Daphnia pulex: one gene and its partners. The protein of the gene in region 2 binds, or shares a complex with, the protein of the main gene of each other region. Links are inferred from orthologs where the notes say so. Each region holds a gene or a part of one and is shown on either strand. Other genes may lie near its edges.

Region 1 (4,144 bases), on a different chromosome or scaffold from region 2:
CGCTCACTTCTTCTTCTTCTTCTTCTTTTACAAGGAACTTGGTGATATTCCATCAGGCTCACATCATCCCCCCCGGTAATAGGATACATCTTCTTTTATTTCCTGGTGTGGTGGCTGCTGCTGCTGCCCTTTTCTGTGTTAAACCAAATCAATCCAGCTCGTGAATTATTCAACGCATTCCAATCAACTTATGGACGCTTCTTTTCTTCTTCTTCTACTTCATGTATAACCTCCTCCTCTTTCACCTGATATAAAAATATTTTCTCTCTTTCCTTCTCTTTTGCGCCATCCCCCGATCGGAATGTCTTCATTTCGGACGGACGGACGGGGAGATTTCTCGACGAGATCTTCTTTCTCTCGCCCCCCTACCGTAGCACAGAGGAAAGGTTAACCAAAGGTAATAATTTACCTGCCTTCCTAGTTCTTTTTTTTTTTTTTATTTTTATCATACGAAACAAACGGCTTTCACCCCCCTGTAGGAAGGTGTGGTTATACACCCGGGGTAAAATCAGAAAGAAAAAAGAACGGGGGAAAATGTTTTATACACACGAGCCCTTAACGATTGAAAGATCACAAATAATAAAACACACAGGAGAAAATGAAGTTGGACAACTTCAAAAAGAGAAAACGTTTTTTAAGACTCTCTTTTCTCCGCGTCTTTTTAAAGGGTCATTAAAAAACATTTGGTTAAAGTCCAGAGGGGGCTCCCACAAGCTCAGATTTCATCATTCCAACTTGATCGTTTTGGAAGAAAAAGAGAAAAAAATAAAAAGATGAAAATGTCCGCGTTTCTTTCACTGATAGATTCTCCTACTTCCCAAAAACTCGCCAAGTTGGCCCGTCCTGTGTAGGTGTCAGCTGAGAAAACTCGTACGGGGGTGCGGAGAGATTCAATTTCACAGATGAACGGCACAGACTGACGGCCAGATGTAGAGAGGATACCAAGTGGGGGGAACGCCGGAAAACAACAGAAAATCGGCGAAATCGGCAAAAAAGAAGAGAGGAGTGTGCTCGCGCTATGGTCTTCTGTTGGAGACGGGAAAAGATATTGCGACTATTTGTTCCTTTTTCAACATTTTTTTTTATTATTTTCGGTCCGAAACTGGCCGGCCCCCCTCTCTATTTCCGTGACGACACGAATCACGCCCAAGATTGACGACAACAAGAAAGTTTGGGGGGAACGGTTCCCTCCTCTTCAGATGCGCTCCGGGAGGGGGGTTTTCTAACAAGAAGAAGGAGGAGGCTTCGTCGCATATATATCTCTACTACTCCTTTTTCCCTTGTAACTTATTAAAACATTTCAAGAATGTGTCGTGTGTATCTGCTGGCTCCACCCCTTTTGATTTCCAGTCGCTTGAAATGTGTGCGAAAATGGAAACTAATTGTGAAAAAAAGGAATGAAGTGGAGAGAGAGGGGATGAAGCTATTTAAATGTAAACATGTCGAGACAGAGCTATTCTCGGTCGTTCTTTTTGCCAAGTGGTGCACACAAGTCAGCTGATGGCCCTGTGGCGTATCAAATACGCTTGACATCGAATTGCCGAGTTAGACGAGAGAGAGAGAAGAGAAAGAGAGTCGAGAGAGGCTACGGATCGATGAAACAAAAGACGCCAACTGTATCAACGCTCAGCCTTAACAGACTTAAGAGACAATAAGGCGGCGGCGGCGGCAGCAGACGGGCAGATTCAACGTCGCGGAATGGCAGTAGAACAATGCGGAATCGAAATACGAAATTCAAAACAAAAAAATTAATAAAAAGAAAAAAACAAATTTGTTTTTTTTCACGAATTGAATGGACCGTATGTCATCGGTCCCAGAGGCGTCCGTGAGTCAAAGAGCCAAGGACGGGCAAGTATATATGTTGACAGCTTGTCACTAGCGCACGTAGGACGGCCTACCTGAATTACCCGGCAGAACGAATCGTTTTAGGGGGAAAAAAAAGCTAGCTTCACTCGACACGGTCCTTAAATAAAAGTTGGAATAGCAAAAAGGGAATAAAGAAAACTAAGCAAAGAGTTTGGGAGGAAAAAATAAAAGAGGTAGAGACATCCATATGTGGGAATGGAAGGGGAGGAAATTTACAAGTCAGGTAGTGTGTTTTGCTCGTAAAAGGTGTTTAGAGGATTCGGATATCTCGTGTGTTACGTGTCGAGCGGATGGTTAAAATCAAAAGAACTCGGTGCCCTCCACATTTGAGTTATTCAAATGTAGAGATGGGTGGTGCCATCTGGTTATGGGAAAGCTGAACAGTTCCAACGGTGGACTTGGAGCTGGTAAAGTGAGCAGCAGATGGGTCTGCTGTCACAACTTGTTTACCACCATGGACTTGAATCGGGAAAAATGTAATAGAAGATTGTGTTTTTTACCCAATGATGCAGTAGAACTGTAAGTTTCACAATCCACGATGAAGGATCCACTAAGAACAGCTCCCAGAGCAATGGCCCGTTTGGTCAACATTTCAATAACCTGAGGACCGGACTTGCCTTCAGGAACAGCAAACAGTTGTAAACTAAAATTGAAAAACAACATCAAATTAGTAATTATTTCATACAAACTTGTGATTCAATTAATGGTTCCTTCATTTGAATGAAATGTGATAAAGCTGAGAGACACTGAATGCTTTACTCACACTATGACACCCATGATGTTGTTACAGGGTCAACTAGGTAAATTCCACACACAGTCGACTCCCCGAAATTACACCTGAATGTTTATATTCTATTCCTATACTTAATTACAAAACAAAAAGATGAAAAAGAAAGTCACGTTTGTTTCAAAACAAACTGCTTTTCGTGCCTGTCAGAAAGACCGGCTTCGATATAAGTATCGATATGCTCCTTAACAATCGATCAATCGATTTTCCTTTTTCTTGATTTTTACTATTTAAAAATAGATTGGGGAAAAGTCGGAAAACGGGAACACAAACAAGAGCTGTGAAACCTTGAAGCATTCACACTCCTCCCCTTGACAAAAACAAAAAAAAAAAAAACGGGTGAGAAATATCATCCAATATTCACGTACGACAGTTCTGAAGTGAGAAAAACCTCGCGTCGAGCATTTGTAAGAAAAAGTGGGTGGGAACCGGATGAACACTATACTACAAGTGAGCCGTTATAGAGTGTGTGGCCCGTCTCGAGCTATATGTCTAAATAAAAGTAGCTGCTCAACATTTATCTTGGGGTTTCTTTGACGACAGGCCCATAACTCTCTCTTTTACTCTTAAATTGTTACACAACATGCAAATATACCCACGGAGCTCTCTCTCTTGTACCGCTGAATGTGCGAGTTTGAACATATGTAGTCACAAAACCGCTGACGTTCGTGTGCGGATAACATTCGAAATTATTTCTGTTGATAGTGTGATACTCGGCGTTTAATAAACCCGCTCGCGGGTATTACGATGGGGTATTATGTGCGCTCGACACACTCCCGCGCGCAAAGATGAGGTCAACCGATTCCACCGCATACATAATGGGATCTAGACTAGAAACCGGCGGCGCCTATCTGTGTGAATGTCCGTCGTCGTCGTGTGTATTATGAGCGGAATAACAAAATCTCGTTCATGTCTGTCCCCCCCCCCGTCGTCGCTTATCTACAAAATAGTCCCACCCCCACCCCCCCATACATACATGTATGGAGAGAGTTTATATCTAGGAAGTTGGTGCACTCGGTTCAGCGAACGACTAGGGTTGCTAGGAAACCATTGATCCATCCCTCAAGGATATATGTGCATGTGTAAAAAAAGAGGAGTGGGGGGGGGGGGAACCGGGCTTGCGTACTAACTGATCCTTCTCGCAAATGGTGAGAACAGGAGGAAAGAAAAAGTCAAAAGGGATTTTTTTTTTTGAAATTTATTTGTTTCGAAAAAGAAATAGGAAACCATCCAGTCAAGAGAGGGGGGAGAGTACTGTAAAACAAAAAATCTGCCAGTTGCTCGCTGGCGTGCCTCAGCAGCATCCGGAATCTTCTAGAAAAAAAAAATTTGATTACCAATTCATTTCTTATTCCGGTCGAGTCTCAAAGTGAAACTGGTGGCGCGGTGTGTTAAAAGGAAAAGCGAAACGCGCTGACCCCCGCAAGGTGAAAAAATAAAATAAAAAAGGGAATGAAGAAAAAATTCCTGATCCGATTATACAAGTTCCTA
Region 2 (3,639 bases):
TTGAATGTTTTAAACTTGTAGAAAATAATTGTATATTTTCTTTTTTATCTAGGTAAACATGAAAATGCGCAGAGAAAGATTCTTGGACGTGCCTCTTTGCGCCACTGATTGTGATGATTGGTTCAATGCTTGCAAGGATGATTACACATGTACAGACAATTGGACATTAAACTTCAAATGGATTAATGGGACCAATCACTGCCGACCTGAATCCGAATGTCGCACCTTTTCCGATATCTTTCAAAACTCATCTAATTTTTGTGAAAGGGTAAACAGTATTAACATTCTCCCTAGAATTTTGATTACATTTTTATTTTCTAAAAGGTTTGGGATCATTCATGGAAGTATACCAATAATTCAGAGCCCTGCATGCGTATTTGGTTTGACGGTGATCAAGGCAATCCTAACGAAAATATTGCACGATGGAAAATCCAACAAAGTAACAGCGCGGAAACGTTTTCAACGAAGCCGCTTACATACGTACTCCCCGCCTTGATGTTGTTTCTAAACTACTAGAATAGAGAAATTGCGTTCTCATTTTCATTGTAAAAGAAAGCATGTATTAAATAGTTGATCATAACACAGTTTTTTTTGTGTTTTTCAGTTTATAAAATGAGAATGATAATGATAATCAATTTGTCACACCCATGGACTGGTCATTTGTGCCCTGTATTCCATCCTGTGATTGTGCTGACGAGGGAGGCCTACATAGTTATCACAGTGTATTAAACAATTTTAAAATTTTATTCTTTGCAATGTGATCAAATAAGAAAGAATTGGGATCTAAATAGGAAATTGAATATCCTACCGACTTGGCTGCGTTTTGGGTTTAGGCATTTTGGCCAACAAACCCTGAATTTCTTTTTTCTCGTCGTAGGTCTTGTAGAGATCGTACAGAGCCAGAATTTGACGCGTTATTTCTTGAATTTTATCCGTATCGACGGCAATTTCCGCAAACCAATTTTTCCCGTCTTTCTGAAGCACAACACAAGCCATTTGCATGGCAGCTAATACAGAAGAAAAGAAAGAAATAAATGAAGTAGAGTTCACATGATAAAAGACAAAAATAATTCAAGCTAACCCAATGCAATTTGGTAAGGGGGGTACAGAAGAGATATATCAGTTCTTAGGCTATCATTGACTATTTTCCATGACAATCCAAGAAGATCTTCTTGCCCAATGTCTTGAACAAATTGGACAAGTGGTCTGTGTGGAAATTTCAAATGAAAACATTATTACATTATGCTTTAAATTTTCTCAGAAACAGTTGATCACCTGTAAGGTTGGTAAACAACTAGACAGCAATCCATGTTTTCCAATAAATAAAATTCACACTCAAGGATGTGTTGTGCTCTGTAGGGAAACTCTTGAGGATAGGCATAGTTGAACTTTGACTTGACTGTTTAAGAAGTTGATTGAATCACAATAACAAATTTTGTCTTATGAAAAGATCACATACCAACTGATTGACATGTTGTGATTAATCTGTTGTTCGAAATTACACCAAACTCTTCGACTTTTGAAGCCAACAGAATGCATGTGGGGGCAAGTAGCAGTGGATCAATGCATTTCAAGGAATTCCTGGCATAAAACCGCTTGAAGTAAACTGTGGCAGTCGCTATGACTTGTTGTTTGAGTTTCAAATGCTCACCAAGAACCTGGATGACTAACATGAGAAAGACACTTTTATTATTCAACATTTAGGAGATGATTCCATAGTTAATATAAACTTACAGTTACTAAAGAAGATGAAGAGTTTTTGATAGTCTTCCTCCGTGACGATGGCGAAATCCCCTTGGCGTTCTCGAACCAAATCAGAAGGGTCTAGTAGCCACTGCTGACTAATAATAAAGTGAGTAATTAAATGTGAATCAAAACGTTAGACAAATAAAAACTAACCAATGCGAGCTTTGCCAGAAATTCCCAGCCATACTCTGCGGCCGAGGTTTAACTTGTTTACTGTGTGTAAACGATGCTCGACACTGTTAGGTTAGACGACGTAAGGCGGCGCTTATTAAAATGTCGCCGTGCCCGGATTTTCTAACATGGAAGCCTTTTCGCACCCGAGCACGCCAATAAACGAAAGAAAAGAAAACATCGTGATTTACTGATTTAGTGATTTGTGAACGATCGTATTCGTGATTTTGTTCTGTTTTTTTTAAAGTTTTATTAGCGTTCAACAAAACAAAACATTGCATTCCATTTGGTTTTAATTAATTAATTGTAAACTTATGACTTACTGTATGACTGTTTTTGAGTGATTAGGATGATGACGCAATGAGTTACTTTGGTTCGACGTAAATAAACATGATTTAATATTTTTGAGACTCATTACACAGCGTATTTGTTTACATATTATTGTCGCCTAACGAAACGTTCATAACACAATGTTTGTTACATTTTACAAAGTTACAAACGATCCATGAATAATTGAGTATGTAAATTTGGCTACTAAACACGAAGGAATTTGACCACTTGTCCGTTTTACAACAACGAGAATCATGAGTACATCAGGCCGAAAAGAAATGCGTTGCAAAAAAATAAGAAAATACAAAATGCGGAATGGACCATTGAGTAAGAAAACAGAGATGATACAAAATATGTGTGGGCTATATGACGATATGGACAGTCAGAGAGAGTTTGAATCCCGTGGCATCGGCACGAACGAAAAATACAATCAACATTCAATGGAGCCTATACACAAGACATGAAAATATTTTAATATCATCAACACAACCGATGGGGGGAAAAAATCATGTGACATATCTCCCGCATCAGTCAACAGCAACGATGGACAGGCCAAGAAGCAGAGGCATCCTGCATGAATAAAGAGTGTAGCCCCCGTGAGAATTGACTTGAACGATTCTTGGCATGCGTCCGGCGTAACGTGAAAAAACAAAAACTATTTCAAAACGTGCCGTCGTGAATTTTTACAAGTCCGTGACTTGTTGCTGATCCGGCGGGATCGTTCGTTGTAGGTAGTCGTCGTTGGAGAGGTCGGTGGAGTTGATTTGCCACTCGATAGGTGGCAGCTCCAGCTGATAGATTTTACTGAGTCGCTGTCGATCGTGCGGCTGGATGGATCCAGCTCTCGATCCGATTCCGGTGGCCATTTCCACCGAGCTGAGCGAGCGCTCCATCGCCCACTTGGAGCAGGGGACGTAGCGGAGCAAACGGGCGAAAGCCAGTCGGAAATCGCGGTTCTTCCATCCGTAAATAAATGGATTCAGGGCTGATTTCCCGAAATACAAAATCATGACAACCTGCCGAAAACAAACGGCAACATTGAGGAAAAGAGTTGCGTGTCGGTTACACAACAACAGCTCGGATAAAGAAAATTAAACTGTTTAGCATGTTTAGATCCGGGTTGAGCCGGTTGTAAAATTATCACGGTTTTTTCCCTATTGTTATACATGTTGTTTACAGGGGATTTTAAATTTTGCCACGCACCCATCTAAACGTAACAAATTCAAAACTGAGAGCGAATTTGAACGAAATGTCGTAATTTGAGAAAAAACCCCAAAACAAATCAAATAAAAAATATATTTTTTAAATTCCTTGACTGCTATTAAAATTTAAAAGTGGTTGATGAAACTCAACCGCGTTTCCCGTTTTATGCGGAAATGTCAAACATTTTTT
Region 3 (4,305 bases), on a different chromosome or scaffold from region 2:
CCATGTAGCTGAAAGTAGGCAAGCACGAGTGACGAATCAAGCCCCAAATCCTGAATATGACCAATAGTTCTCGAAACATATTGAGTAGTTTAGGGTCACGTAGCATGTCGCACTGAAAGAATTCCAACCGATTTAATAAAACGCTTTTTATTACGAATAATTTGAAACGTCAAATATTACCATTGTTCCTCGTGTAGTGGTTGCAGTTCGCCAATCGGGCAAATTGTTCAATAACCTCAAAATAAAGGTGACTGTCCATTGAATAAGATGTTGCACTGTGATGAGAGTTGATGCCTCAACTGTAAATTCTTTGACTTCCAAGTGTAGCAACACTTTGTCAACTTCAGTGCCGACCTCTGGAACTTTGGAACTCAACACAGCTAATTGAAAATATTGAGCACATGTTACATGTATAGAAATGGATGTTTAATCATTAATTATTTACCAGTAAGGCTATCTGCAGGAGCTCTATCTTGATTAAAGAGCTCTGATGGTGGCCTCAGCAGCGATTTCAGTGCGTAATATACTGAGTTAAGCATAATAATACCGTATTGCAATCCGGCCTTTGAACTCGCAGTTGGACCCAACCTTTTAACCAAAAATTGTATCAATTACTAATGGCACTCGTAACAAAATTCTATTAGTTACCTGAAGATAGCCAATTTAATATTGAGCAATCTATATTGCAGCAATTGCTGTAATCCAATAGATTGCTGGTTGAAGGAGTCGGTTAATCGTTCACACAGGGAATCCAGCATCGTCGATCGCAAACCGATAAGAACGTCCCAATAGTCGATACCAGTCAGCAGACAATACTCCAATGACATTAATGCATAAGGAATGGTGACCGAAGCTCCTACACATAATTTGTACAGTTTAAAACTTATTTCATTCAGATATTTGCCGAAGACTATGCCAAAATCTTACCAGGATCTGTGATGGGAGAAAGTTTGCAGACAAACATTGTCGCAGTGTTATCGAAGGCAATCAATGCATTGCCAGTGGCAGTGAAACACGCCGAGCTGACCGTTTTCGATTGGGCGCTTTCACATTTCGACCTATCCACAATGCTGAGGTGTCCAACCTGAAAACGTACCGTGTCCACATGAAATGTTATTAATTTTTGCGCTATTCAACGTAATCTAGATAGACAATATCTACCTGCTTCATACTCTCGCGATATAAGCACAATAACTCTCCACATACTGTGGCGATGACTAAATGATGCTGTGGAGGGCTACCCGCTTCTTGGCCGTTTACCCAGACATTGCGTGACGGACAGACGTAGGTGATTCGACTGTTGCAATTGAAAACGGACATACACTGCCACTGCAGGAAGCGACTCATGGCAGCCGAAGTGGAGAAGAGTGAATGAATCGTTCGTTCAACTTCTGACAGCTCCCAATACTGCAGAGTTCCACTATTAATTCCATTTACTACTAGGAATATTCCCGATGGATCTTCTCGTGAACTGAAATTCACACCACATACACGCATTTCGTTGGCTAATTTTGAAAAGAAAGACACCTTCAGTATTTAAAAACCAAAATCAAAATGTTCGATATTTCAAGCAAATTTACCTCCTGACTGCAGGGGGAAAAGTCCAGTGAGTGTTTCAGAACGAAGACGATATTCATCAAGAAGGCAACTGAATTCCACTCCGTCATCTTTTTGAATGGTAAGCTTGCAATATACAATCGGGTCCAAAGGGATTCCCGTGCATGCTACGGCTAATATTTCTCCATCTGAAAGACCGTACATGAGTTAAGAAACTGGTAATGAATTAATTACTCAACTACCTTTTGTCCAGGCAAGATCCACAAAGGAATATGCTAATCGTATTCCGCCAAGAATTTCTACATTTGTTGTTTTCCCTTTAGTACCACCCATCACAAAAGCTTGCACAAGGCCAGTCATTCCAACAACAAGAAAACCTTGTAGAGGACGACCTCCGAATCCGCGAATAGTTGGTTTCATATCTACTTGAATATACTTGTCCAGATATGACACACTTTCCCGGTTTTGGCAATTTAAAAATGTCTAAACAAATTTGAAAAAAAAAAAAAAATGTAAAGGGTTAATTTGAAAAATAAAATTACTTCAACTGTATATTACTTTCTTTCCGTTAAAGAAAAACATTCCAGCCTGGATTGGCTCATCTGGAATGCAAATGTTAGCTACTCTGGTCCATTCATTCAAAAGATGTGTGAGTGTTGTCCAGATTTCTGCATTTCCCGCAGTATCACCGATAAGCAAGTAATGACCAGATTGGTCCCATTCCAGAACAGTTACTTGTGCCACACAGCTCTTAACACTAGAAAATAAAACAGAATAACTTTTCAAATTTTCTGAACTAGTTGTTAACATTTCAAACTCACATATGCGTATCCCATGGGGTATTAGCGTCACAAACAACAACATTCATGTTTTGGTCACTTGGACCTGCTGTACTACTCTTCAGTGTTCCATAACAAGCAAATGCTATAACATTTTGAGGAGACACGGCACACGCTGTGACCCCAATATCAGACTCACTGCAAAAGATAACCACATTTTATTAAGAGTTATACAATATAATATTAAAAATAGCACTAAATAGAATGTGAAGGGGTTATCACTTTTCCCACGGAGAATTGCCCGTGTTTAATCGTTGGCGTTTCCTGGGGCTTTCTTCATAATGACTACGTCGGACAACAGCGATCAGATCCATAATATATGGAAACACGAATTCAATGCAGAGATTAAGACAATCTGCAAATCAAGTAAATATTTTTTGGATGACAGAAATCAACGCGACGAATAGATAAACATTCAAACAACGTTAGCAGCCATTCCAAAAAGACCTAGCAGACGCAATATTTCTCTGAGCTCTGCGGCGCCATCTAACGGAGCACATTACAAATGCGCTGATTTGATTTTGATTATTTTTTCCACATGAAACTCGCACGAATCGCAAAAAATTATAATTTGATGTATACGTATAAATGTTTTTGAATAAATTATATTAAATAATTATAAAGTACATTTTATTTGGTATAAATTTTCCGAAATTAGTAATATGCAAATGTAGTACGAGGATAGATTGCAAGACGGGAGTCTGAGTAAAGAAGAGCAATCTAGTTTGGGCATTCAGTGTGCTCAGTTGAATTGATTCAGTAGTCACCACAAGATTAGTTAAGAATGTCTGAAGTCCCAATAACACATATCTTACACAGCGGATATTCTCACGCGACTCTACGAGCATGGCAAACTTCCGATACAACAATTAAACCGAACAATTTGATGTACCCTTTATTTATAGTGTAAGTAACTAAATGCAATTTCATTATAAAAATTTAGCCAGACATTAATTTACTCTTATATAACATAAAGAGATGACCCTGAAGCAGAACAGGAAATTAGTGGGATGCCTGGCATTTATCGATTCGGAGTTAATCGTCTCGAAAATCATTTAAAGTCTGCCGTCGCAGCGGGATTAAGTTCTGTCTTGTTATTCGGTGTGCCATTTTCAATGCCGAAAGACGAATTCGGTTCGGCGGCTGACCATCCTGAGAACCCAGTCATTTTGGCCATCCAAAAGCTTCGACAACTTTTCCCCGATCTACTCATTGCGTGTGATGTAAGTTGTAGCGCAATTTTATTTAAAATCTTAAGTAATTCCACTACAATGTTATAATATTAAGGTTATACAGATTGAGGATAGAAAATTCAGGATAAATGTTTAGAGATAATTCTTTGGAGTTTTAAGTTTTGGTTAACCCTGATAGTCAATCTTATCTAGTTTGCTTTCAAGTTCATCACAAACTAGCCGGTGGCGTATCAAGTAACACAAGTCAGGCACACACAGATGTTCCATGAATAAACAAAAAACCCTACAGGCGTAACTGTCATCCAACAGTTTTTCGATAAATAACGTAGCAAAATGTTGATTAGAGTTGTTGCTGGACAGGCTACATATTTCTACTATGCAATGCCCGCTAAGATCTGACTTACTTTTAGAATTATTTATCCAAATTGCCAAATTTCGCTACCGCTGAAATCTGACATTTCCAGTACCGCAGTGCGGTGCTTCAGTAGTGCAGACTAATATGAATATTGTCAGCTACGATCGGTGTCTGGGCTAATTCGAACACAGACCAGCTTCAGTCAATGTTTGAGAATTTTCTTTATCTAACGGAACCCATCCTTTTTTATTCTGTGGGAATCACGCCTTGATTTATCTGTAAATGCAGGTATGCATTTGCGCATACACCATCCATGGACATTGTGGAATCCTCTGTGACGACGGTACCATAGATAATGCTG

The links.
Region 1: cyclin-C-like (region 2) and mediator of RNA polymerase II transcription subunit 20-like share a complex: the UniProt entries of both Homo sapiens proteins name them as parts of the mediator complex. The link is inferred for Daphnia pulex from reciprocal best matches to the Homo sapiens genes CCNC and MED20.
Region 3: cyclin-C-like (region 2) and mediator of RNA polymerase II transcription subunit 16-like share a complex: the UniProt entries of both Homo sapiens proteins name them as parts of the mediator complex. The link is inferred for Daphnia pulex from reciprocal best matches to the Homo sapiens genes CCNC and MED16.

The regions. Positions count from the first base shown.
Region 1 is NC_060026.1:11,663,810-11,667,953, forward strand, and holds the start of mediator of RNA polymerase II transcription subunit 20-like, read right to left. Parts: upstream 2,827-4,144; 5' UTR 2,644-2,826; coding exon 2,630-2,643; intron 2,510-2,629; coding exon 2,367-2,509; intron 1-2,366. UniProt on the Homo sapiens protein: Component of the Mediator complex, a coactivator involved in the regulated transcription of nearly all RNA polymerase II-dependent genes.
Region 2 is NC_060017.1:5,572,566-5,576,204, forward strand, and holds cyclin-C-like, read right to left. Parts: upstream 2,060-3,639; 5' UTR 1,932-2,059; coding exon 1,900-1,931; intron 1,842-1,899; coding exon 1,735-1,841; intron 1,667-1,734; coding exon 1,460-1,666; intron 1,400-1,459; coding exon 1,276-1,399; intron 1,207-1,275; coding exon 1,082-1,206; intron 1,008-1,081; coding exon 809-1,007; intron 705-808; coding exon 632-704; 3' UTR 538-631; downstream 1-537. Other genes in the region: folate receptor alpha-like, read left to right, coding at 53-268, 325-516; adenosine receptor A2b-like, read right to left, coding at 2,931-3,263. UniProt on the Homo sapiens protein: Component of the Mediator complex, a coactivator involved in regulated gene transcription of nearly all RNA polymerase II-dependent genes.
Region 3 is NC_060021.1:618,180-622,484, forward strand, and holds the start of mediator of RNA polymerase II transcription subunit 16-like, read right to left. Parts: upstream 2,870-4,305; 5' UTR 2,711-2,869; coding exon 2,619-2,710; intron 2,535-2,618; coding exon 2,379-2,534; intron 2,315-2,378; coding exon 2,116-2,314; intron 2,041-2,115; coding exon 1,800-2,040; intron 1,746-1,799; coding exon 1,581-1,745; intron 1,506-1,580; coding exon 1,162-1,505; intron 1,085-1,161; coding exon 928-1,084; intron 857-927; coding exon 649-856; intron 589-648; coding exon 446-588; intron 381-445; coding exon 181-380; intron 113-180; coding exon 1-112. Other genes in the region: delta-aminolevulinic acid dehydratase-like, read left to right, coding at 3,181-3,302, 3,373-3,619, 4,233-4,305. UniProt on the Homo sapiens protein: Component of the Mediator complex, a coactivator involved in the regulated transcription of nearly all RNA polymerase II-dependent genes.